Linked DNA regions of Struthio camelus. The protein of the gene in region 2 interacts with the protein of the main gene of each other region in a pairwise test. Links are inferred from orthologs where the notes say so. Each region holds a gene or a part of one and is shown on either strand. Other genes may lie near its edges.

The links.
Region 1: the proteins of ATP10B (region 2) and TMEM30A interact in a protein complementation assay, tested with the Homo sapiens proteins (2 studies listed by IntAct, with this or other methods). The link is inferred for Struthio camelus from reciprocal best matches to the Homo sapiens genes ATP10B and TMEM30A.

Annotation. Positions count from the first base shown.
Region 1 is NC_090944.1:43,287,478-43,299,962, reverse strand, and holds the start of TMEM30A (cell cycle control protein 50A), read left to right. Parts: upstream 1-7,214; 5' UTR 7,215-7,268; coding exon 7,269-7,556; intron 7,557-12,485. UniProt on the Homo sapiens protein: Accessory component of a P4-ATPase flippase complex which catalyzes the hydrolysis of ATP coupled to the transport of aminophospholipids from the outer to the inner leaflet of various membranes and ensures the maintenance of asymmetric distribution of phospholipids.
Region 2 is NC_090954.1:14,523,787-14,535,406, forward strand, and holds the start of ATP10B (phospholipid-transporting ATPase VB), read right to left. Parts: upstream 4,750-11,620; 5' UTR 4,420-4,749; coding exon 3,917-4,419; intron 1-3,916. UniProt on the Homo sapiens protein: Catalytic component of a P4-ATPase flippase complex, which catalyzes the hydrolysis of ATP coupled to the transport of glucosylceramide (GlcCer) from the outer to the inner leaflet of lysosome membranes.

The DNA.
Region 1 (12,485 bases), on a different chromosome or scaffold from region 2:
GTCTGTAGATGATGTTTTAGAGTGAGTCAAAAAGAATCCCAGCTTGCAGAGAATAATATGGCTGAGGTGAGTCACGTTTAATATGTTCCACTTACTTCACTTGGCTGTGCAGCAGAATGACCCTAGTTATGACCCAGGTCTTCTATTTTCAAAGCGTTATTTCTGCCTCAAAACCTGTCCATATTAAGAACTACACTGAGCTCATCTGGAATGAAATTGCCAGCTATTTGAAAGGCACAGTGACATGCTTGAAATAAACTTCCACTTTTAAACATGAGTAAAACATAAATAAAACCTTATTCTGAACTTGAGGCTTGATTTAAAAGGTCTCAGCCAAGGTAGAAAATATTTTTCCTTGTCTAGATTTTAATATAAATCTGATTTAGTGTGAGTCTATGTATAAATCTTCCCCTTTTGTTTTATAAATAAATACACATTTATGGTTCTGAAAACACATTAAGATTTTAAGCTTTAGAAAATGAAGTTTTTTAAAGCATAAATGTAGTTGTGGTGTATTTGAAACCCGTCTAGTTTTTAAAATATTTTAGATGAACTGCGTCACTTTGGAGTAGGAGGCTGGTCACACTGGCCATACAAGAGCAGCAGTGGTATATACTGTTTCATTGTTGATAATGGTTTCTGCAGGTAGAATAATAAATTGTGACTGATCTGACACCTGGCAAGCAGCTATGGATTTCATCAAAATGCCAGGAGGGTGAAACCCAGGTGTGCAAAGGGTGCTTTGAACGCTGTGCTTCGAACGGTGTACTTCCAATGCATTAATGTTCCTGGTTAATTTTTTACATGACCTAATTTGTATTTGAATCTACAACAAGTGAGTAAAGAAAGTGTGTTAGCCACATAATTAGCCTATAGTTTGGGACACTGCATAAAATTTACTAGTAGAGATTTAAAATGTGGTTAATTCTACAACTATTCTCTTTTTCGAAGGAAAAAATCATAAAGTGTTTTCAGACTAAGACAGTGTAGAGGCTAGCTTGGGCTATCGATATTGGTAACTTTCAGCAATTGAAAATCAATGAAAAAATCTGCTTTTCTCTTAAAGAACACAGACTGTTTATAGAGGATTGAAAAGTGTGGGTTAGTCTAATTAGATGTGATAACATAAAAAGTTTAAGCCTATTAAAAGTCTCAGGTGCTTTGATTTCTAGAGAAAAACTTTTTTATAGTCACTGAGAGTGTTATACTTGCCTCATCTTGAAACGAAATTAGACAGAAAGAGGAGATAAAACTACCTGTTTTGTAGAACTACCTGTAAGGTAGAAAACAAACTATAAATAGAAAATTGACATTGTTGTCCTGAATGTTCAGCTTCCTACTGTGAGTTGCTGAGTTTTATCTCTTTCTCTGAACATTAACATTTATTTCTAAGAAGATGACTTTGAATTTAAGGCTTGTTTTTACTTATAAAGGTACATTTGCTCACTAAAATAATCTATTTAGCAGTTGATGCATTTTATTTGCTTTAAAGAGCTGACTGTTTTATACATTAGTGATTTAACGCAGCATAAAGTTTTACTTATTTGGATTTTATTTTAATGAGTATTAGTTATTTAAATCTTTCCTAGAAATAAGTGCACAGTGGGATTGGATAAGTGCCAGAAGAAGAAGATCATTTGAGGGGCTTAATGAAATACAATTAAAAAATAAATGCCACTCGGTAGTCTTTCAGATTAACTACAATTACATTCGTATTTCTACCGCTGAAATCAGACTTCAGTTTCTAAATTAAAATTTTGAAAATTTAACATTTATGCTTAGGTTATCTAATACATGTTTTCTTCTTCCTTACCTTGAAGATTAATAAACGTAACACGCTGAGGTCTTGACTACGTACCATGGCTCTGTAGCAGTCATTGCTAAGTTAATTATTAACTAATAAATGAGCCTGCTGTTACACATATTTAAAAAGGAACATTTTAAGTGCATTTTTTTAAGTATTTTTCTTTTATTTCTATATCCATTTTTCTTATAGCTGCACACAGACCAATGTGAAGTGTAATCACTGCATCGCGCACCACCTCAGTGTAAAATTTTGCGACCATGAAATTTGTTAGTTTTACTTTGTTGACTATAAATGAATTTGCCTTAGCATAAACCTGTGCAGTAACATCCATCCAAGGTCTTAGTTTGCAGTAAAACCAATATTATAAAGTATTTGTGCTGATATCCTTTATTTCTCTAAAGAATAGAAGTAAGATAGACTCTGTGATTGCATCCTCACTGAGGATATAATTACTGAGGATATAATTATTTTGGTAAAGAGAAAAATCATGCTTCTAATTAACCTAGTGGTTCTGCTGCAAAATCTATGGATAGGCCAAACATATGGATGAGCGTATGGACTTGAATACAATTAATTGGAAAGAAATAGCTATAACTGGCCAATAATAATATTGGTCATACTGCCCATTGATCTGTATGGTAGGCTAAATAGTCTTTCCCTCTTTCTGTTTCACATCATACACTGGGTAAGCAGGGATTAGCTTGAACGCTCCCCTGTTGCTTTGTTAATATGGCAGTACTTACCCGAAAACCAGGATTTAGACGTTAGGACTTAGCCACACCTTTTTAAATCTGTTCAGCTCAGAATCTGACAGCATTATAAAAGCAGCAGATTCCACTGGGATGGAAAGAGGAAGAGGAAGTTCTCCATTTCTCCCCTGTTTACGCTTTTCTCAGATTTATCTGGAGCCTTTGTGGCTGGCTAGGACTACATTACCAAGTAATTTGATACAACAGGAGCAGATCCGTACACTGAAGTGCTGAGGCTCTGCATATCTCCATTATAAGTAATTTGAGTTTTCTTCAGATTGGATTTAGTCTGGTCTCTTACGCCAAATGTCTCTCCTGCACGTTGGTTTGAAGTTTTGTGAAGGAAAACTCTCATACAAATCCCTGCTGCGTTCCCTTGACGGAGGGCCTCTCTGCAAGACCCTCTGGGAAGCGCCCCACTCTTCTGCCTCTTTCACACGGAGATGGTACCACATCAGTGTCTCCATTAGCGTCGCTATCACTGCGGCCCACGGCCCTGCACCACTATCTAATGAGGCCATTCCCCAACAGCAACAGAGCCCATGCCTAGTTTAACCGTGCCCTTACAGCTCACAGAACCGAAGTGGAAGAGAGAAGTGGCGCAGAGATTAAAAAGAAGTAGGCAGACTCTCAGTATCTCTCTGTCTCATCTGCCTTCCCTCCTGACCCAAGACAAGCCTCTTTGTGCTTGTAAAGGCTGTGCAAGCATCAGCTGTGGGTCTGCTCAGAGGCAGTAAGGCTTGACAAGAACTCGTGAGGCTGGTGGCAGATCCATGTCATTAGGCCGTACAGGATGGGACAAACCCTTCTCCCTCTCCTTTCCACAGGGAAGTAGGTGCTCTCATTGCCCCCCCTTCCTAGTTAAGCTCTCAGGATGACTCAACCCCCTCACGCTGTGCCCAGTTTTTTGGCTGAAATACTCTATTCAGAGAGTACTAGTGCCCTTCCAGCCTCCTGGTGGGTCTTCAGTTCCCAGTGGCCCATGTTGCCTGCTCCAGAGATTCCCTGAAGCCAAACATTTTCAGTGTCCCAAACTACCCCCCCTCCTGCCTTTTACGTACAAAACCAAGAGGCTCTGCCTGCCTGTCTCTCTTGCAAAGATTGCAAGAGGGACTGCGCCTTTCACTCTCTAAATGGGCTATCAACATGCCATGGCCTCAGGCTCCCTCTTCCACCTCACTACTACCCTACAGAAAGGAAAGCAAGAAACTTTTACAGACAGAGGGCAAAAATCTCAATTGGAGAAACATCTGCAGCTAGGCAGAAGTGCGTGAACAGAAGTGTTCAAACAACAAAACTTGATTCCTAGAGCAGATCAACACGGCCCATAGCTTGTAAAAAGTGTAGTGTAAAATAGCGTGCATGTACATGCATATATATATTAAGGGAGGAACAAGGTGTCCCAGGATGTTTGAAACTGGGGCAAAGGACAAAAACTAGGGAAAAGGGGAGGGAACAACATGACTGAAAACATGAACAGTCAACTGTAGGCAAATAGGGCCCACTGGGGAAAAATATGAATAAAATCTGGCCATCGTGGCCATCTAAATACAGTGGCAGGCACAAGGCTGTGTGCAGAACAGCACAGGGCCAGGCAGCCCCCATAGCCCACTGCTACAGCTTGACTTGGGTGCCTCCACGGGGGCCCTATAGGCTGGGGGCGCAGAGCCAGAGGGGCCTAGAGGACCCTCCTCAGGATCAGGATGAATTTTCCTTCTTCCTCTGGCTCTTTCTGCAGCTGCCCCGCCATCTGCAGCATAACTGGGTGGCTCTGGAAAGAGACCGAAGGCCTCCCACAGTTGCTGTTTCTCCTACCACCCCCCCCAAGGCCTTCTGTTCCCCCTGCCAGTCCGGCCCTGCTTTGTTTTGCAAAGTGACACATCTTTCTTGCTGCTCATGGGGCAGGGAGGCAATTTGTAGCACTGCTGTGTGCAGTGCTCTTGCCTCTCCATCAGCTCGCAACCTGCTGTGTTCAGCAAAGGCAAGGGCCTTGCAGTAGAAGCTAGGAAGGCTGTGTTATCAAGGCATGCTGCATGTGTAGCTTACCCTGCGAGATGTTTTCTAATGTAATTAGTGGATTTCTCATAGCACCGGGAGATTTACTTTTAAAAGCATTAACAGTCCCTTACAATCAGATTGCAGTTCTGAATCCACTGTCTCAGTATCAAAAGAAGCCTAATGCACACTTTCCCCTCCCCTCCACAGGCATATATCGAAAAGCAGTACATTTATCTAGGCTGGAAACTGGGGCATTGGCATAGGGGACTCTTGATGTCCCTGAATGTGTCCTTTTGAGGACTTCTGAGGGGTCCAGTAATGAGGACAGGGCCACAGAGTGCTCTCTTCTCCAGACTCTCCCGTTATGGTTGTCAAAAATTATCCTCGGTAACCTGTGACTTTGGTTACTTTAGGTTAACAAAGTGAAGAGTGGTTGCCATCAGGCAGCTGCCAGAGAAGAGTAGTTGCCACTGTGTGATTTAAGGTTCCTTAACCAAGGCAACAGGAGATAAGGAAAGGCATAAGGAAAGTTGGGGAACAAAAAGTAACTGCTTAAAAAAATACATTACCTGACTCAGACAAAGAACCGAAAAAAATACAAAATGTGATCAAACAGCCTGTGAACATCTGGAAACAAGGAGGAGCTGAGTCTACCTCTGAAGTGTACTGTCTCCAGGTTCCCAGTTCTAGGATGTCTGGCCCAAAAACTGGTGAGATCTTATTAGTGGAGATGATGTATTGTATCCATGCTAGCATGGCTTGTCTTTGTATCTTTGCTGCTGATCGCTCAGTTGGTTCTACTCAGATTCATCCCTTTGGCAGCCCTGGGACCTATGACATGGACAACAAAACAAACATTGGGTCAGAGACGTGTTTGGCAATTCAAGACCTCTTCAAGGTCTCTGTAAAACCTGCATGCCTGCCATGCCATCCTTGAAGTTCGAGGGCTGGCTCTTCAGGAACACGTTTCTTCTTCATGAATTTCACGTAGCCTTCCTTGCCAGTCCTCTTGTACCAGGCAGCAGTCATGATCTTACCAACTGCCTGATACTGTTACTGGGTCATCCTGCTGCCAGTGAAATTTCTTGCCATCTTACAGCACAGGTTTACCAGCAGTGTTGTTTCCTTGGTATCTTACTTGGCACCTGGGATTTCCTGGGAGGCTGAAGGAGTGAAAGTGATGAACTGAAAGATGATAATAGAAAATGCAAGATAATGAGGAAAAGGGATTAGGGGATTAGGTAGGGGGAATAACAGAACAGAAGGCAAGGCCCACTAGAAGATAACAGCAAGGGTAAATTATATGTAGCTGTAACACAGATGCCACAAGGAATATGATTTCCTTTTTTCCTAACAGAATTCTAAACAATTATTTAGGAATCAAATTTATTCGCAAATGCTAGATATTTTTAAAAAGTGTCCACATTTCCTACACAGTCTTCGAAGAGAGGGAAGTGCTTTTGGGTCTCCGGGGAGAAGTTGCATATGCTGTTAGGAGCTAAGGAGCTGTTAGGTAGCCAACTGCTCCCTCCAGTGGTCTTCGGAGATACTATCACTCTCCAGACAACTAAAATGCAGGCATCTATTTTAGGAAGAGAGTTCCCCGGTGCGGGTAAGCAGTCTTAGACAGACAGGATTACATGCTTATAAAATTATTTAAATAGTTTCAGTCAGAATGCTTACTGAAAGTATACACATACGTAAATATTCCTTGGGTTTTGGCTACATTGTCCTACACAGTCTTTACGAAACCAACTTTTAACATAAAAGCACCAATAGAGTGAGAGAGAGGGACTCCGAGTGATGCCCAGAGAGGTATTCTGAGCTACAGACATGTGACCCCACAACACTTTCTGTTAAGGTGACTACTTAGAAAGGAAAGCTGAGCAGAAGCACGATCTGCTCCTTATGAGGGTAAAAAACCCCTCAGTTCGGACAGAAACGGTGCTCTCTGCGCTCAGGGCCAGGACCCTGGCTCACGCACGCACCACCACCCAACCACGATGCGGTTCACCACACCTTACAGTTCAATTTCTGAAGAGAAAGCGCCAAGGCAAAGCAACTCCCATAAAGGGACTGCTGGTGCGAACAGCTTTATTGAGGTAAGATCTTGTAACTTTGCTGAGAGTTGAGAGACGGTCCGTAAGCCTCCACTACTGTAAGAATGAGGCGGTTGCTCTTTATGCGAGTCAGAAACTGAAGTTACTCTCTCAGGCGCCATCCAGACTTGGTGCAGGATTATACTGCCCCTTCCCAGCACCGCCCTTGGGACGGATGGGGACGAGGCGGGGACGAGGCGGCCGGCGGGGTGACAACGCCACCACCCGCCACTCCACCGCTCGGAGACGGCGCCCGCCGCCGCCGGCCCGCGCATGCGCTCTGCGCCGGCCACCGCCCCCGACGCGCGGAACGAGAAGAAACGCGCAGGCGCAAGCCGCCCTCCGCAGGGCCGCGCTTTCTGCTCTTGCGCATGCGCACCTGGGAGCGGCCCTCCCTACCCCCGCCCCCGGTGAGGGTGGGGGCGGGGCCAGTGCGGTGCGTCATCAGCTGCGCGCCTCGCTCTGCTGGTCAGCCGCGGCCGAGAGCGCAGGCGCGGCGGCGGGTCACGTGGGGGCGGCGGCGGGGTGCCGTGCGGCGCGGGGTGTTGGCGTCGCCGGCGGGGCCGGTGGCAGCGCGCGGCCCTCGGTGACGGGGCGGGCGGCGGCGGCGGCGCCATGGCGGTGAACTACAGCGCCAAGGAGGAGGCGGACGGGCACCCCTCGGGCGGCATCGGGGTGGCGGGCGGCGGCGGCGCCGTGGGCGGCGGCAGCGGCGGCGGCGGCGGCGGGGCGGTGAAGACCCGCAAGCCGGATAACACGGCGTTCAAGCAGCAGCGCCTGCCGGCCTGGCAGCCCATCCTGACGGCGGGCACGGTGCTGCCGGCCTTCTTCATCATCGGCCTCATCTTCATCCCCATCGGCATCGGCATCTTCGTCACCTCCAACAACATCCGCGAGTACGAGGTGCGCGGGGCGGGGGTGCGCGGCCTGGCCTCGGCCCCTCCGCCGCGGGGGCCCTGCCGAGCCCCGCGGCTCCTCGGGCCGGCCGGGGCAGGGGCCTCGGCCGGGCAGGGGCCCGCCGGCCCTGGGGAAAAAGGACTTGGGGTGCCGCCGCCAGGCAGGCAGGCGGGAACCGGGCAGCATTAAAGGTGTTAGGGAATTTGTAAGTAGCTGGTTTGTTGAGCGCCAGGCAGGAAAAGACCACAGTAGCTTTCGCATCGGGAAGCGGAGATGGCTTGTGTGGTTTCTATGATGAACAAATACCTCACCCTGTCTGTTTCAGTTTGGTTTAACGTTTATGCTCTTTCACGAGCTACCATTAATTGCCCCGGCTAAACGTTGAAGTTAAAAGCATGTCCTCTGGATGGACTGCAGTTTTCCTGCCAATGTTAAGTGAACTTCTGGGAAAATTAATGCCAGTATGTAGTTAGCACACAGCTTAATGCTGATCTTTTTCTCAGTAGGGAAAACAAGTGTTCATCGTTTGTGGGATAACTTATGATAATGGGCAATATCTGATGTTTCAAGGTAGTTATGGTTTCAAGACAGAACTTTGTGGTGAATGCATTGCTATAATTTTTGTGTGATAACAGCTCATCATTTTAGATGCTCTCCAAGAGCCAGTGTGTCGCAAGTAGACTTAACAGCAAAGATCCAAGAGCATGAGAGCTTCGAGTGTCTTTTTCTACATATACTTATAAAAAGTGGAAGTAATTTATCCCTGAAACTTAGCCACACTGCTGTCCTGAGCTGCTGCTCACCGTTTGTCAGAACTGAACCTTATATCAACATTAGAGCCGTTTTATAGCAGGATCACTTTATGTTCTAAGGAAACTTTCCCTTTGGGCTAGAAAACATATCTTAGGCACACGTGTGCTCAGATTGACAGCTCTGATTAGTTCTAGTAAGCTAAGGGGACCAGGACTGATGAGGGAGGGAGCAGGAGGGAGGTGTAGTTGATTTGATCCATAAAATAAATATTCTCCAGCACGTCAAACAATCAAATTATTTAAGTAACTTGTCCTTTTCATATATGTAGTGTTCAAAATAGTGGCTTAACTGCTGATAATCAGTGGCAATGAAGCCCGATTAACTAAAGAAATTGTGAGGTAGACAGTGAATAGTAGTATCTTTTTGTATATATTGCACAACATGAACAATGTTAACATAAAACCAGAAAAGAAAAATGACCATTAAATTGTTTAGAACTAAAACTCCACAGTCAAGAAGAATAAAAGCTGAAGTTAAAAATCACAGCTGAAGTGCCCTTTACAGTGTCCTGATGTTGTATGGAAGCTTATTTAAAAAAAAAAAAAATGCTGCTTGTGTCAAGGTTTGAGGGTATGCATAATACTTTAAAATTGACACAGGTGCTTCAGAGAATATTGCCAAGTTGTCATGGATACTTAGACTTTTTTAATGCCACTTTGTGGTCATATTTAAGATAAATGTCCTTTTGAAAATAAATGATTATATTTATTTTAGAAGAATAGTAAATACACTCACTAACACTGATTTGCTGACAACTGCATTCAGAATAGCCATATTTTTGTAGTAAAAGAGCATAAACTCTCAGCTAGTAATGATTTTAAGGTAAATAAAATTGGGTAAATGTATGCATATATACATATATATTTTACAATATCTGAATCAGTGGAACTCTTTCCTGTGGGTTGATCTATAAGGATAGAATACTCAGCAGGGTTTTATGTGAATCCAAAAATGTAAGCCACTCCCTTATCTTATATTTCTGTTGTGTGCATATTCAGAGATCGTATATACTATTGCTACTTAGCAGCTCAGTCCTGTGCTCCTGCTGTCAGGAGCCACAAACTACACATTTCCACCTAGTGTGCGGTATAAAAAGCCATAGGTGAACTAGGAGCATGATTAATACTCCCCTAGGCAGTCAGATTGCATATATAAAGCAGTAGTGGCATCTTACTTTTGGGAGCAAGATGGAAGGCCTGCTACCTTTTCTAATTCCGAGAGATTCATAATTAGAGAGGAATTTATTTATTTTTTTTTTCTGAGTGGGTTCGGACTTATGTTACCCACCTCACTTGACCCTTTCCTCAGTCCGATTATCAGGCTTTTCTGCGGACAAGAGGGACAGAGTTCTTGACTTCTGAGAGAATGACTTCAAGATGTAGCAGTTGGGCTGTGCAGGTGAAAGTGGGGATGCTCATGTTCTGTTCTCTGATCTCGATGCATGTTTCATAAAGTGTTTTAATGCAGAAATTGTATGTGTATAAACGCGCACACACACATGTATATGAGATTATCATTTTAAATGCAGGTAAACTACGGCTTCTTTTCTACTCCAGCTCAGTTTGCGGGGGAGGAGTGGAATTTAGACTGGAAAAGGCTTTAAGGTTGCATTATTAAAATTTAGATGAAGCATTTTACAGTACAACCCTTGGGCTCTAAATAGCAGTGACAGATGCAATTTAAGGTACAGCTACTGCCTGTGTCTCTAGCTTAGATGGCTCCCTCTGTGGTTAGCATGCTAGCTTTTGATAGTAACCTCCAAATGTTATTCACAAGTAGCTGTCTCTCTTGGAGACAATGCATCTAAAAGCTTGATGCAGTGACTAAGCACTTTCAAAAATGTAATCGGAACAGGAAGCAGAGCTAGTTATTTACGTCCACCTCCTCGCCTTCTTACATATGTGTACACACATATACATATAGTTATGTTTGTAAACTTAGTGTATTGGAGTTGAATAGGAGGTGTAATTTATGCCCCCAAAATACGTATCCATGTATAGTTGGAATTATTCTTAGCCGTTTTCTGGAATTAAATATTGTGTCTCTGAGAATTGTGCTCTTCTCATACAGGTGCAAGGATTGAGCAGCAAAATGTAGATGTTCCATTGATTTCCTTTATAAGCACTCATCAGTTCAAAGATGGAGGGTTTCCAACAGCTTTAATATAACAGAATTATAGTTCTTTCATATTGGTTATTCTTTAGCCCTTTCTCATTGTTTCAAAGGGGATGAACAGTGAGGGTAAACACCTCGGGACTGCCATGAAAACAGTTTTCTTGGTTGGAAGATGAGAAAAGGCTGCACGTTTGTTTTTTTTTTTTTCTGTACTGTTAAAGGGTGAAGGAGACTTCCTGCCACCCTGGAAAGGGAAAGATCATATTGGCAGAGCATATTAAAAAACAGTAAGAACTGACCAATATCCAAAAAATCAATCTCTTTCTTGGTAGGAAAGAGATCCTCTTCCTGTGCCTGCCACTCTGAAATCCATAGCAGTAGTTAAAAAGGCAAGTAGACTATGAGACAGTAGTGGGAAAGGAGAACCGAAAAAAAGTAGATTACCGTTGCATATATCTTCAGTGTTGTGTGCGGTTCCGGTGACCCCATCTCAAAAATGATACAGAGTTAGTAATAGCTATAGACAGGGACCACTAGAACACCAGAGTTACGGGATACCTTCTATGCAAGAACTGGCTAAGTAAAATAGGATAAATTTTTGAGGCATGAAGTATATGAAATCACAATTGGTATGGAGACTATGCATACACAATAGTTGCGTTATTTCTGTACTATGATAATACAAACGAACTCAGAAGGAACTCAGCTGCCTGAAAAGTCATGGCAGATAAGTTTCATACACTTAACATCCTTAAATCACCAGTTGTTGAGAAGAACCAACCAAGAAAGGACTCGCTCTCTGGGTTTGTCATATTCCGCCTCTGGCTGTTCCCTGGAGACAGGATGCTGGGTCAGACGGATTTCTGCTGCAGCCCAATAAGTCAGTTCTTAAAGTAATGATTTTGTTATTTGTCAGGAGATGGAAACAGAGATCAGATTTATATTAAGCTATCGCAGAGCTTTAAAGACGTGTAGATTTCTGCTAGCTTAGCTAAAAGGATAAACATACCTGTTGAATGCAACCTGTAAATGTGGATGCAGAAAGAAAGATTTATGTTGGCAGTCACTGTACAGTAAAGCTCTTGAACAGAATTGAAGCTGAGCACATTGCTCAAAAGCATGGTTCTGTTTTGATATACATCACTTTCATGCATCACACGATTTAGTTATTTTCCAAAGGAGATGTTCTAACAGAGACTAAAGAATACTTCAGCAAGAGGGGGAAAAAAAAAGCTATGAATAACTGAGATCTGTAGTTTGTTTAGAATGGTGGTGATCTGTGTTCTGTAGCTAAATAGAGCTCTTGAGGACTACTATGTAGTGGTCTCTCCAGATTCCCATAGGCTCAGTATCTTGTTTGGTGAAGGAAGCAAAGACTACATGATCCGGACCGTCTTTCCCCTCTAATAGCTTCTGAAGCTGAGTTGTGTCAGCTAGGCTTGTTAGAAGGGAATCTCATCTGTCAGAAATCTGGCAGCAGAACAGAAACTAATAAAAAGTGCCTTTGCTGAGGGGAGGGCTGCAGCTCCTTCCTTAATAGATATCAAAGAATCTACAGGAAGAGTTTTGTTTTATTTAACCTTAATACAGATGTTTGGACAGATCATAACTTATTTTAACTCTTGATAACATGTTTGACTGCAGGCATGAATCAGAGCAAACCGTTTGCATTAGGCTTTTACAGAACATTGTAGTTCAAATGATGTTGCTCTTGAGCAGTTTGTTCCCATACCTTGGCATATGTTGCACTGCTCTGAGTTTAAATTCTGAATGAGAATTTTGTATTAAGTTTATAAGTTGTGAATTATAGGCAGATGGAAGCTTTCTCTTCCTACACTTGGAGCTAACCTGATGAGCCCATGTTAATTGTTTCCTGCCCTTCACATACTCAAGCCATATACAAGATAGAGAATGCAATCTAGTGACTACAGTCACCTCAGGGCGTAGAGTGAAGACATGGCTGCTCAGGATATATTACGTCATGGTAGCTTAAGTTTGGTTTCTTTT
Region 2 (11,620 bases):
TGGCAACATACACCAAACCTTAGTGTACTCTTGGTTGAGGCCATTTCTGAACTCGCTAGAAGTTTGAAGAACGCCTCCAGTTAGCACAAATAGAAGGCACTGTTTCTGCCTTCAGTAATACCTATTGTTTACTGAGGTATCTGTTGTTATGTTAGGTACAAAAACTCCAGTGTACCTAAAGCGTACAGATTATTATCCTGCAGTCATTGTAAAGCTTACTTACATCACTACTTTTATATGAAGTAATTCATGCTCCAGCTGATCAAAGTTCATGCTTTGTGGTTATCATAAGAATATGCATATGCATCCATGCAAGATATTACACGGAGCTGGGGTATGAAACCAGGATACTCAGTCATACAAGCTCATACACCACTCAGAGAAGGCACTATTTAGATGTAGAAGATTTTCTTGGACATAGCAACATCAATTGCAATTTTGCCAAAGGGCATGCGATGGGACTTCAAGCTGGCCAGAGGCTTGAGACTATCTGTCCTCTCTTTTTTTGTTGTTTTTTTTTGTCATTTTTTGTTTTTTTAGCAGGAGATGAACTCAAACCTTATACTAAGCAGAGAAAAGGGTTACAATAAAGGCCATCCTGACTTTTTGTGACATTGATGTTGTCAGTGGATCATTTGGAGGAAGAGTATATCAATGCTTGTAGGACCTACTTGAAAACCCCAGAATCTAAAAGCATCACAGAGAAATTTCACTGAGAGCGTAGTCAGTCCACCTCACGTAGGAGGCCTGTAGACTTACTAGTTAACATGCAACTCCATAGGATGGTTCAAAGCACATAAAATAGACTTCTCTTCTGAATGACTTTCTCCGATATCTGAGTTTAGGTGCTTAAAATTAAGCAGCGTGAACAGCTCAAATACTTAAATTAAATACTCAAATACTTAAGTTAAATTTCCAGAGGTGTGAAATCAATGTAACTAATAAATCAATGTAAAACCCTGCCTGGATGCTATGGAGTGTTTGTAGATCATTAAAGCTTAATCCTGGAATATTTTTGAGGGAGGTTGCCAGATCCAAGCGATAGGTTAATTGTACACTGAGTATTTTCTCAATCACCATAGAACTTCAGGTTAATTAAATAATAGCTTTTAGTCAGTGTTGGGCTGGCATTCACTTACAGTTCCACAGTTGGCTTGTATACTACATTCAGTGCTGGCAGCTGTTGTTAGTAAGTTAAGGACAGACTGGAGAGAGTTCAGAGAAAAGTAACCAAAGTAGGTTTGGGGGGATGGACTTGTAAGAGAGATGAAGAGGGTGATAACAGAACCTGACTAAAAGGTCAATGGTGGCTAGGTGTATCAAAATGAATGTGATAACAACCACAACTATTCAAAGACTATAAATAAATATTATGGATGAAAACTAATAAATTAGGCTTGTATGAAATCAACTAACTTGAGGAATTTGTACGCAGTTAAGGAGCGCTAATGAAAGCAGACTATCATAGGAGATGCTTTGACAATCACATTTGGTAGACAGTGGAAGCCCTACTGCTTGAAAAATTTAGAAGCAGATAACGTATATTTTAAAGAATATCGGGAGAAAAGAGGCAATTGAACATAGGTCTGTCCCATCTATATTTGGATTTTCAGTCTTTTTTTTTCTGTTGTGTGACTTGTTGTGAAAGCATAACAGTTTATAAACAATTACTATGATTCTAAAACCCTTTAATTTAGAAACTAAAACGTCCACAATCAAACCCCAGGTCTAAGTCATTATATCCCCTCAAGACACTTTATTAATCGTCTCCCCTTTTTTCAATTAACTATTTAGCTACCAGTCTAGATTATAAATCCAGCTGATCTATGTGAAAACAAAATTAGAAGAAATGTGTTTATAGGACAGCCAATTTAAACTCAGTGTTCCTTACTCTGAGCAAGAAGGGCAAGCTACTGCACTTCCTCCAGTCTTCAAGAAAGTTTTGGAAAATATTCAGCGTTTGGAAAAGAGAACTCTGCCTTTGTGTTTCTCTTAGAACACAGAATCAGAGATTCTGTTATTGAAATCTGAAATAAAGAAAATATACTCTTCAAAATTAACCCTTTAAATCCAATTAATTGTCAGTCTTAGGGTGGAAGATCAGTTGCTCCATGAAAAAGAATTCTCTGCCGCCACAAAATTAGTAAGACTCACAGTGTCTAGAAAAAGCCTTTCACCTATGTTACAAAATTACCTACAGCAGATGATTCATAAGGAAGAAAATTAGAAGATACCACACTCTTCCATGACTTTGTAGCTAGCAAGAAGAACAAGAAATACCAGCTTCCAAAAGCTCTATAGAAGCCTGATTAAAATTATTCATGATATAATAAGCCGTAACTACAGATTTGATGGCAGTTGTAATTACCCACCATTTTTCCAGACAGGATGAACACTGTAGTCTGAAGCCCTCTCCATTTCCCTTTCCCTTACATCGCCTTTTTAGGCCATAAAACTTTGGTGAAAGACAACATTCTAGACAAGATTTATTCATAGATTATCAAAGCCCTATTTATGGGATGGAATGACCAGTTTTAATATGGTCCCATGTCAAGTTTCAGCATAAGAAAGCATTCACAGCTATGACTCTAATGTGGATCTACACGTACATTGCAATTCCATGAGGAATATTTTTCCCATATACAAAAATAAGTTTTATTGTATTTCACCACTTCTCACCTTCTCATAGTAAATGTCTTTTATATATAAATTACCATGGTAATTCTATCTAAAGGGGAAATAAAGGGGATTCCCCATGTAGTTCCATTCACTAGTATCTACTGCATCACCTACTATTCCCTTTGAGATTGGCCTTAAAAATAAGTAGGTCTCATTGCCTCATAGATTAATGTAACACTGAGAAGATTAAAAAAATCCAGCTAGACTCTAGCCTCAAACATAGGCAAAAGAAGTATTTTTGTAATTGACCCAAAGAGCTAGATTTATTGACATAAAAGTACTCTTAGATGAATAATATTTAGAAACTTATAAATGACTACTTTTTAAGTAGCCCCCAAACAAGTAAATTCAATTTCCCTGTTTAACCAGCAAGATATAAAAATAAAACCCAATGAACATGCACAAAAGAAACAAACAGCACTATATGACAAAAGCCAGAGTTTTGCAAGATTTTATGTCTGAGAACTCACACTATATAAAGCACTATTGATTAATACGAGGAATGACAAACAACTTTCAGGGAATGGTAAGTTTTGCTCTTCTAGCTCTCAGATGTGATATTTTAAAAGGAAAAAGCCACTTCCTACTGAGAGGGTAGTTGTCAAACTAATAAAATATAATTTTGAAACTCCTTAAAGTCCTAAAAGCAAGAAGATATGAAATATTTTGAAGACTTCAGCACAGACACTCCTAGTTGATTCATTCAGAGAAGATCAGAGGCATATATTACTATCTTATGGTTTTAAACTGTATTTTTACACAGTTTTATTTTGCATACAATTGAAGCCTCGCTTACAGTTTAAAGTATAAAATTCAGAAAAGTGCAAAGGGCTATAATTGATACAAATAGCTCCCATTCCTGATCTTGTTCTGTGCTACCTTATATTGATAGAATTAAGCCCTCTTGAAATTTCCTTAAAAACCCAGGTGCTTAGTAGTTATGTAAGCACCTGGCTTCCACTATCCTCCACATCTAAGAAAGATAGCCACTCCAATACTATGTAACTTGAACTTTCCCTCCCATTTTGAACATGAGGTTTAAGCAAAACAGAAATATCTTTCCCTGTATCAGAACAAATACCAGGCTTACCTAGCCATCATGATTTTTCACAGTTTTATCAAATCATTCTGATTTTCCAGCAAGACAATATATTAAATGTTTTTAAACAAAACATGTCAATACTGATGAAAGATCCCAAGTCAACTTTTTTCTTAATGAAAGCTGTACAAAACTCACCTGCTGTAAATGTAACAGCCCATATTATTGATTTCTTTGTCCAATTTGTACCGCCGAAAGTCCTCCCAAGCATCTTTAATGGCTGTAATAGCCATTATAACACAAATTGGGATCACGGAAACTTCTGGTTGGAAAGCATTAACCACTGGCACAAAATTCAGGAGAGCGATGGCCACAAAATAAATATTGGCGAAGCGGTGAAGCTGTTCAGAGATATTTTTAGGGAGGAAAGTCAAGAGGGTGTATTTTGTAGTCTTAATTTCATTACAGTCATAGTGTCTGTTTGGATTTTCCTTCCACTTCTTTCTTCCAAAGGGCAAATTGGAGATGATCACTCGTTTATTTTCATTTTTCCTCTTTCTTTTCTTTACTTTTCCTCTCCTCTCCATCTCTTCATTTTGAATTTCAGTGTCAGAAGAAGCACACTGGCAGCATGTGTTTTTGAAAAAAAGTTTTGTCCATATCTTCAAAGAGAAGCAGCCTCGAACGCTTTTCCGTGACATCTTGTTCTCCTGCCAGAACGTTGCTTCAAATTTGATAACAATGAAGGGAAAATAGTTCACTAATCCAGATAAATTTCAAAGCAGGGAGGAGAAGAGTCAAGCTGTCTGGAGTTCACAGCCGTCTCACTCGATCACAGCCTCCACCTGCCTGAAGACAGTAGCATCCCGGCTCACCTCAGCCGGTCCTACAGCCTGCCGGGGAGCACGTCACAACACGAAAGCATCCTGAAAGGGTTGTTATTCCTGTTAGGATACGCCTGGAGGCCCCATCCCCAGCATTTCCCTGGCTTGCGTATGTGCTCAGGTGAAGCGTCTCTGCTTTAGCACAGAACCGGGACAAACCTGAGAACGTGCGCAGTTTACACGGTTCCCTCGAAGCTTTTCTGAATCACTTGCTCTCCATGGGAGCTAACAGGAAGTTCAAAGGTAACGGGCAGAGCACTGCGCCTCCGAAGTCAACAGCAGTCTGCTATAAACCTCCTCAGAGACAGCACTTCTTTCCTCTATCTACTATTTATTGTCACACTCATTTCACAGACTATTCAAAACAACAAACAAACCAACCAAAAAAATCCTCACACAAACCAAGCAAACCTATGAGTCGGTAGCAGTGTGTAGTATAAGCACAAGTAGGCAATTCAAGGGCAGTTAACCTAGATTGCCCCTCAGCCAGGTCCTTCTCCTCCGGTAGTCCTCTAGCCTCTGGACACCCAAAGCGTCTCTCTCCCACCCAGTAATTTGTTCCTACCCCTCGTTTCTTTTTCCTCATTGGATCTCATGCCTCTGCATGTAGATATACGGCATATATGACAGTTAATTTCCAAGAGAACTACATGAATGCATACGAAACAGTAATCTCTTCTCTACAGACCTGGGCTTAAAGAGGAGCGAGATAAAAGAACAGATATAAATATTTTAACTCCTTCCAAAGCAAGATTCCTATTATGTTACACAGTGACAAGCTAAGTAGTGTTAAGTCAAGTTAGCACTTCAACAACAAACTCTGACGAAATCTAAATGTTGCAATAAGGATTACACGTAGAAATATTTCTTCCTTCTGAGTCACTACCGAGCAAACATTGCAGCTTACAGCACATGGGTGTTGTACTGTCTCCAAAATGAAACTGTGATGTATTGATCACTTGAACTTACTGGAAGTCCTACTGAATTTTTTCAGTTCCTGATTATGCTTTGCCTTAAATATAGTTCATTATTAATTTTTGTATTGATAGTTTTAGTGGAAAACTTTTGAAAAACATTGCTTCACGATTTTAAAGAGTCCCAGTGGTCCATTCCAGACTTGGCTACGTTTCAGGTGCTCTGCGCCACTTTTCCTCCAGGTTGTGCGTGCTGGCAAACTGGTTTAGAAACTTGGAATGAGAACTTGAACATCAGTACACACTGCTGTAGCCTGAGACAAAACCTGAGTGATATCAGGATGACTGTAAGTGACATAAATGAAACGCTTTATAGGCAGAAAAAAAAACACTTTATAAGAGCTTTTCCAAACTTACTGCGATCCAAAGGGACAGTGAGGGAATCATTGCGAAATCAGATGAGCAGTTTCCACCATATCAAATGCAAGAAAAAAATAATCAGTTTAGTCTACTTACTTGTCATATACCTTTGTTTTAGAGGAGTTTATAGTCTTATCAAATTGGTATTTTCTGTAGTCTTCAATAGCATCCTTCACTGTGATGGCAAGCAGCACCACAATCAAAGGCAGCACAGTAATTTCTCTGTGGAAGACTTCCACTTGTGGGAACCAGTTTAGAACCACCAGAAAGAGGAAATAAAGATTAGCCAGCCTGAAAGGGCATGAAAGAAATTAAACATAGTCAGAAATTAAAACATGTCTTTTTCTTGCTGAACATTCCTCATTTCATGTCACCTCTGTACCTCCTCTTCCTCTCCTAGAAAGGATTAATCAGTTACTTTACTATTATACTATAGCTACCTTAAGTTTTTGATGTATTACAAATGCTTTTATCAGGACTTAAAACTTCTTTAATGATGTCCCACTGCCTCAGACTTTAAAATAAGCACAAAATCAAGCAAAATCCTCAAAAACCAAACGAGTGTAACAGAATGGATATAAAAAAACACATGTTCAGAATTGTAGAACTGTCCCCAGCAGGAATCAATGAAGGCCTTCATGAGTTTAGCAAGTATATGGAAAATGGAAGATGAAATTACAGAGGTATAAATCTAATATACCGAACAGAAATTTCAAAGCTAGAGATGGATAGACAGCTTTCATTTATCTTTATCATAATGATATTTCCCCAGGCATCTTATTGACATGACTCCTTATGCTGGGGTACCTCACGCCACATCAAGCTTTGGAAAGAAACCTGACCTAGCACTAGCCATTTTTGATATACAATACGGTATAGATATATATGTATACTGTTTACAAGATGGTGATAAACTCAATTAAATTCCCTAAAAAATGTACTACAGTTATGTATAAGACTCTGAAAACTTCTCCAGAATTTAATAGATGTCTCAAACACATCCAATGAAAATGTCTCATGTTCTTAAAAATTAGAGGTTTATTCAACACAGAAAAAGAGGAGTTTTTAAATAAGTTATTTGAAATTTTTACATAGAGGACCGCTCCAGCACTCAAGGAAGCTGGCCTCAGGATCAAAAATAGCACGTTAGACCCAGCATAGGCTAGCGCACAGCATTTATTCACTTTAACCCTCCATTTCAGTGTGAATCAGCTAATAGCTGGGTATAGATAAACAATCAACTACATTTTAGTAATATAATAAGAACAAAAGCAGCCCTTCCCCAGCACCTTCAAATATTGTTCTTCAGAGAGAATTCTCAAATATCACATGTCCTTCAATGAGCTTTTACCTGTGAAACTGTTCAAAGAGATTTTTGGGCAAAAAAGTGAGCCAGGTGTATTTTGTGGTCTGTATCCTGTTTCCAGGATAAAATCTAGCAGCTTGGTCCCGGTCTTTCTGCTGCCTCCCATTGTTAGGGAACACAATCCTCCATTTGTTTAAGTTGAATTTAGGTTTGTCTCTGACAGAAGAGAGTAGTGGTGTTGATTCTGAGAGAGCCTGGGAGGGATGGTGAGCTCCCAGCCGCTGCCAGCGATACAAAGCTGAGTCCACAGACAAAGCCATTTACAGTGGGGATGTCACGCTGGAAGACAAAAGCATGACAAGAACTGAAAGCCAATTCCATTCCGGTAGAAAATTCACTTTGTGTCCTGCCAGTATAGGTTTAAAGCAGCAAACAACACTACTGTTCAGTACCTTACAGGTTCAATCTTCAAGCTCAGCACTTTCTGCAGAATAGCATAGAATAACAGGTACAACAGTCTTCAGCATGAAAAAATCTATTTCTATCTCTGTAGGGAAAAAAAAAACCCTCTATGTTCTATGTGCTATAACTGCAAACTAATGTAGATAAAAGCCAAGTTAACAGATGTGAACAATAGTTTTTCTACCACAAAGTCTGTATCATTTTTCTCAGTCATAAACTGCCACCAAATCTATTCAGGCATTCTTCTTCAAATGTCTCAGACTTTCTTACAATACCTTTTCTATTCACAATTACTTACAAAGGGACTGGCTCAGGTGTTGAATCTTAATGGCTCAGATAATAAAGAACTGCAACATCAGCTTAATCTTATTTATACTCACATAACAATTTTTCAAAGTCTGGAGAAAAATCTGATTTAAATGCAAAATGTCAGCCAGCAGTAAAACAATGGATGTTTTACTGGCTGGAGAGATAAAGGAGTTCAATCTACTAATACTAATCCTATTATCACAGGACACTTGTCTTCTGACTTGTTCACACATTCACAACTGCCATTGTAATCCAACGCCCTTGGTGCTGAGGCTCCAAAGTGCAGGTGTATATGCTGTTATGCTCAATCTAAACACAGTAAAATCTCAATCTACCAGCAGGAGTACAGAGACTGGAAGCTCTCACATACAGGCGAGGCAGTATAAGGTTAAAAAAAAAAAAAAAGGCTCTGGCTTTACGCAACATCAAAGTTTCGCGGAACTCAGTACCTGAACTGAACCTAGCTTGCTTAAACTGTGGGAAATACGGAGAAAGAAATTTGATTTAAACCTGAATAATGGTCACTTAGATTAATTCACTTATGAACTGGTTTAAACTTCATTTAATAGAAGTCATTTGAAGTGGATTAAAATATCCGCACCTGTTTGTACAAGTCTAAACAAACATATTTGAAACACGCTAAAACTTTAAATTGGCCAGTACCTTTATTACAGGTGGGTCCTTTATTCTCTCTGCTTTTCAGCTTCTTCTTCCAAAATGCCTTTCTTTTAATGTATGCAATATGTGATTTTCTTTGAAAAAAAACATAATTGTATTAAAAAGAGGTATGTTATTAAGTCATGGAAGGGGAAAAGTATACTGTCCTGAATTGCACTGGCACATCTGAAGCGTGTTATTTCATCAGCAAACTGCAAGGCATGTTTATACGTTATTACTCACTAACTATATATATATATATTTTAAAGAAGACTTTGTTCTCAGAACCTTTTGTTCGTAGGACACCAGATTTAAACTAGTAACATGACTGAGTGCACAAAGTACAACAAACTTTATGACAGCGTTCCTTGTGTCTGCATTTTAGCGCACCTGGTGCTTGTTTACAACGGAAAGGTAAGATTAATCATTTGAAGGTGTTATATTAACAAACCTACGTGCACACAGCCGAAAGCTGTGAATGGCCTTGTTCAAAAATGAAGAAATTTGCAGTTTATTCTGCAGATAGGACCTCCCGTAATCCTAACTACTGCTCTGCCCATGCCCAGATAAATGATGAGTGCTTCGACTGAAGTCAAAGTGATGTTCAACCTTAGCTACCTTAGAGCTAGGACTTTCTTACATTATAATTTTTATCTGTGGTGTTGAAATATTTTACAATGAAGATCCGATGATTAAATCCCTGGTAGCTACTAAGAAGCATATTGATCACTCAGTGGAAATGCTGCAGCAAAATGATGCAGCTCGTGGTTGCTATTGAGAGGCTGGACACATCTGCCGCTTTGTTCGCAGTAGTAAGCTGTCCATTTAATTTCAGCTACATCATAAATTAATATCTGACCAGTAGATGGAAGAGTAGTGGACTTCGGTGGCTCAAAGACTCGTGGCACAACACGCATCTCTAACAACATTATACATACACTAAGTGCTGGATGTATGAGTTGCATATAACCTTATTACCTGTCAGAGCCCCAAATTATTTCTGTACCTGTGATACACCAAGGCAGGATTAAATTGCTTTGAAATTACAAATTAAAAAATAATAATAATTTCAGGCATATTTCTATAAATAAAAGGAGAAAAGATTAATTAAGGTAGCTTTATCATTAAAAATTGCACATCTTCCACAGCTTTCACAGGAAACTTTTTCTACAGCTTCATAAATCATAATTAGGGAAGTTGCTTAACATTCAAGATAGGATCTTCTCCCCACCCCATCTTTAACTATTTCCTTAGGATACAAATCAATGAAAGAAAGACCTGGTTCTATTCAGTTTGGAAATCAGCTTTCTCTTCAGTGTTTTCTTTGCAAGGCAGCAGTCAAAAATAGTGCTGCATCCACAAAGAGAGAGGGCAACTGGTGCCAACAGACAATTAGCTGTGTCGCAGGAGACGTACAGACTCCATAATGTAAACCATGCAAAAATAAGCAACTGTTATACTGGAGGAAATTATGTAGCTGGATGCATAATCAAAGCAGCAAGCTAATGGCTTTTTTGACACAGGAATTACAGTGCAGGCAGTGAAAACACTAACAGAACCAAACCTAAAGCTTACCATTCCAGATTGCTAAGACTAAAAAGGAGCCTGAACTTGTCAATGTTAGCAGATGACCCAGCAGGAAAGAAGAAAGAACTCAAGAGATGCATTCTTCTGTAAAACCACAATTTTCTTACTTCAGCCAAGGGACAACAAGAATCTTCCAAGTGTGTTACAGGCACTTTGACATGTTATGCCAGTTACTTTGTACGTTAGGAAATCCATAAAAAATAGTACATTCTTCTGGTAATATTTTTAATGTCTCTGTCCTGGCTCTTTCTTAGAATTTTATAAAACCCTTTCTCTGTGATTCTAGAACATTTTACATGGGTACATCCATGTGATATATGTCCGTACAGAGAAATATCACCGAAAATCCATTGAAGTGTGCATTTTTTCAACATCTATTAACTACATTGACTGGTTTTCTTCCATCTCGCTAGCGAAACTCAGTACTATAACGCACAATGCAAGGTGATGCGGACATTTCAGATGCTATTATGCTTGGGATAGGCCAGCTATTCCGCTTCAGAATAAAGATTACAAGTGTTAATTCCAGTGCTGGCACACGAGAACTACTGCTGTTTCGCCTAAGGTCTCCATTGTTAGCCATTTCAGAAATACTTGCCTTCAAAAAGGATCTGCAAATTCCAGAGGCCTGCTTTATTTCTGACCAAGATTTTGTGATTTTCAGCCTGTGAGGTCAGAAATGCCAAGGAAGCACCAGCTGTGGCTGCGGCACCTTGCATAATGCGCAATTACCCTCTAGCTAATCAAGGCACCACTCTGATGAGAACTACAGGCAAAGGCATGTGGCTGTGCTCCAGCTGGGTTCAGACTAAGTGAGCAGGGCACAAAAGGAACCTCCCCATACCGTCAAACCTCCAAAACCTAACAAGTGGGAGGGAGTCTAGAGAAATTATTCAAGTAAGACATACAGAGGAAGAGCCATTAGGATTTACCTCCAGTGCATTACTGCCCTGGCAGGGTAAGCTTTTAGTGTCTCATTCTCCAGGCTTTTCTTAAGTTGCAGTCAATTAATGATATTACCGTCATTCCCTTGGAGTCCAATTCAACAGCTGAAAAAACCTTCAGTTACAAGAAATCGTTTTCCCTCTTCCTTTCCACTCTATTATTTATGGCTCTACCTATGGGCAGCCCTCACCTGGTCAGACATATATTTGTCACTGGTAATTCCCACACTGTTGCAAGGAACGCCAAGTAATCTAGCCTAGAACAAGCTCCTTCTCTCCTTTTGTAGATGCCCCCCAAGGTTCCCACAACAATAGACATATATTCATTACCTGAAGCCATAATGAATCGTTATCTATTTTATTCTTCCTTTTAAGAATGGCAGTCCTTCCTATTGTCCAAATTTTTGTCGCTTTTCTCT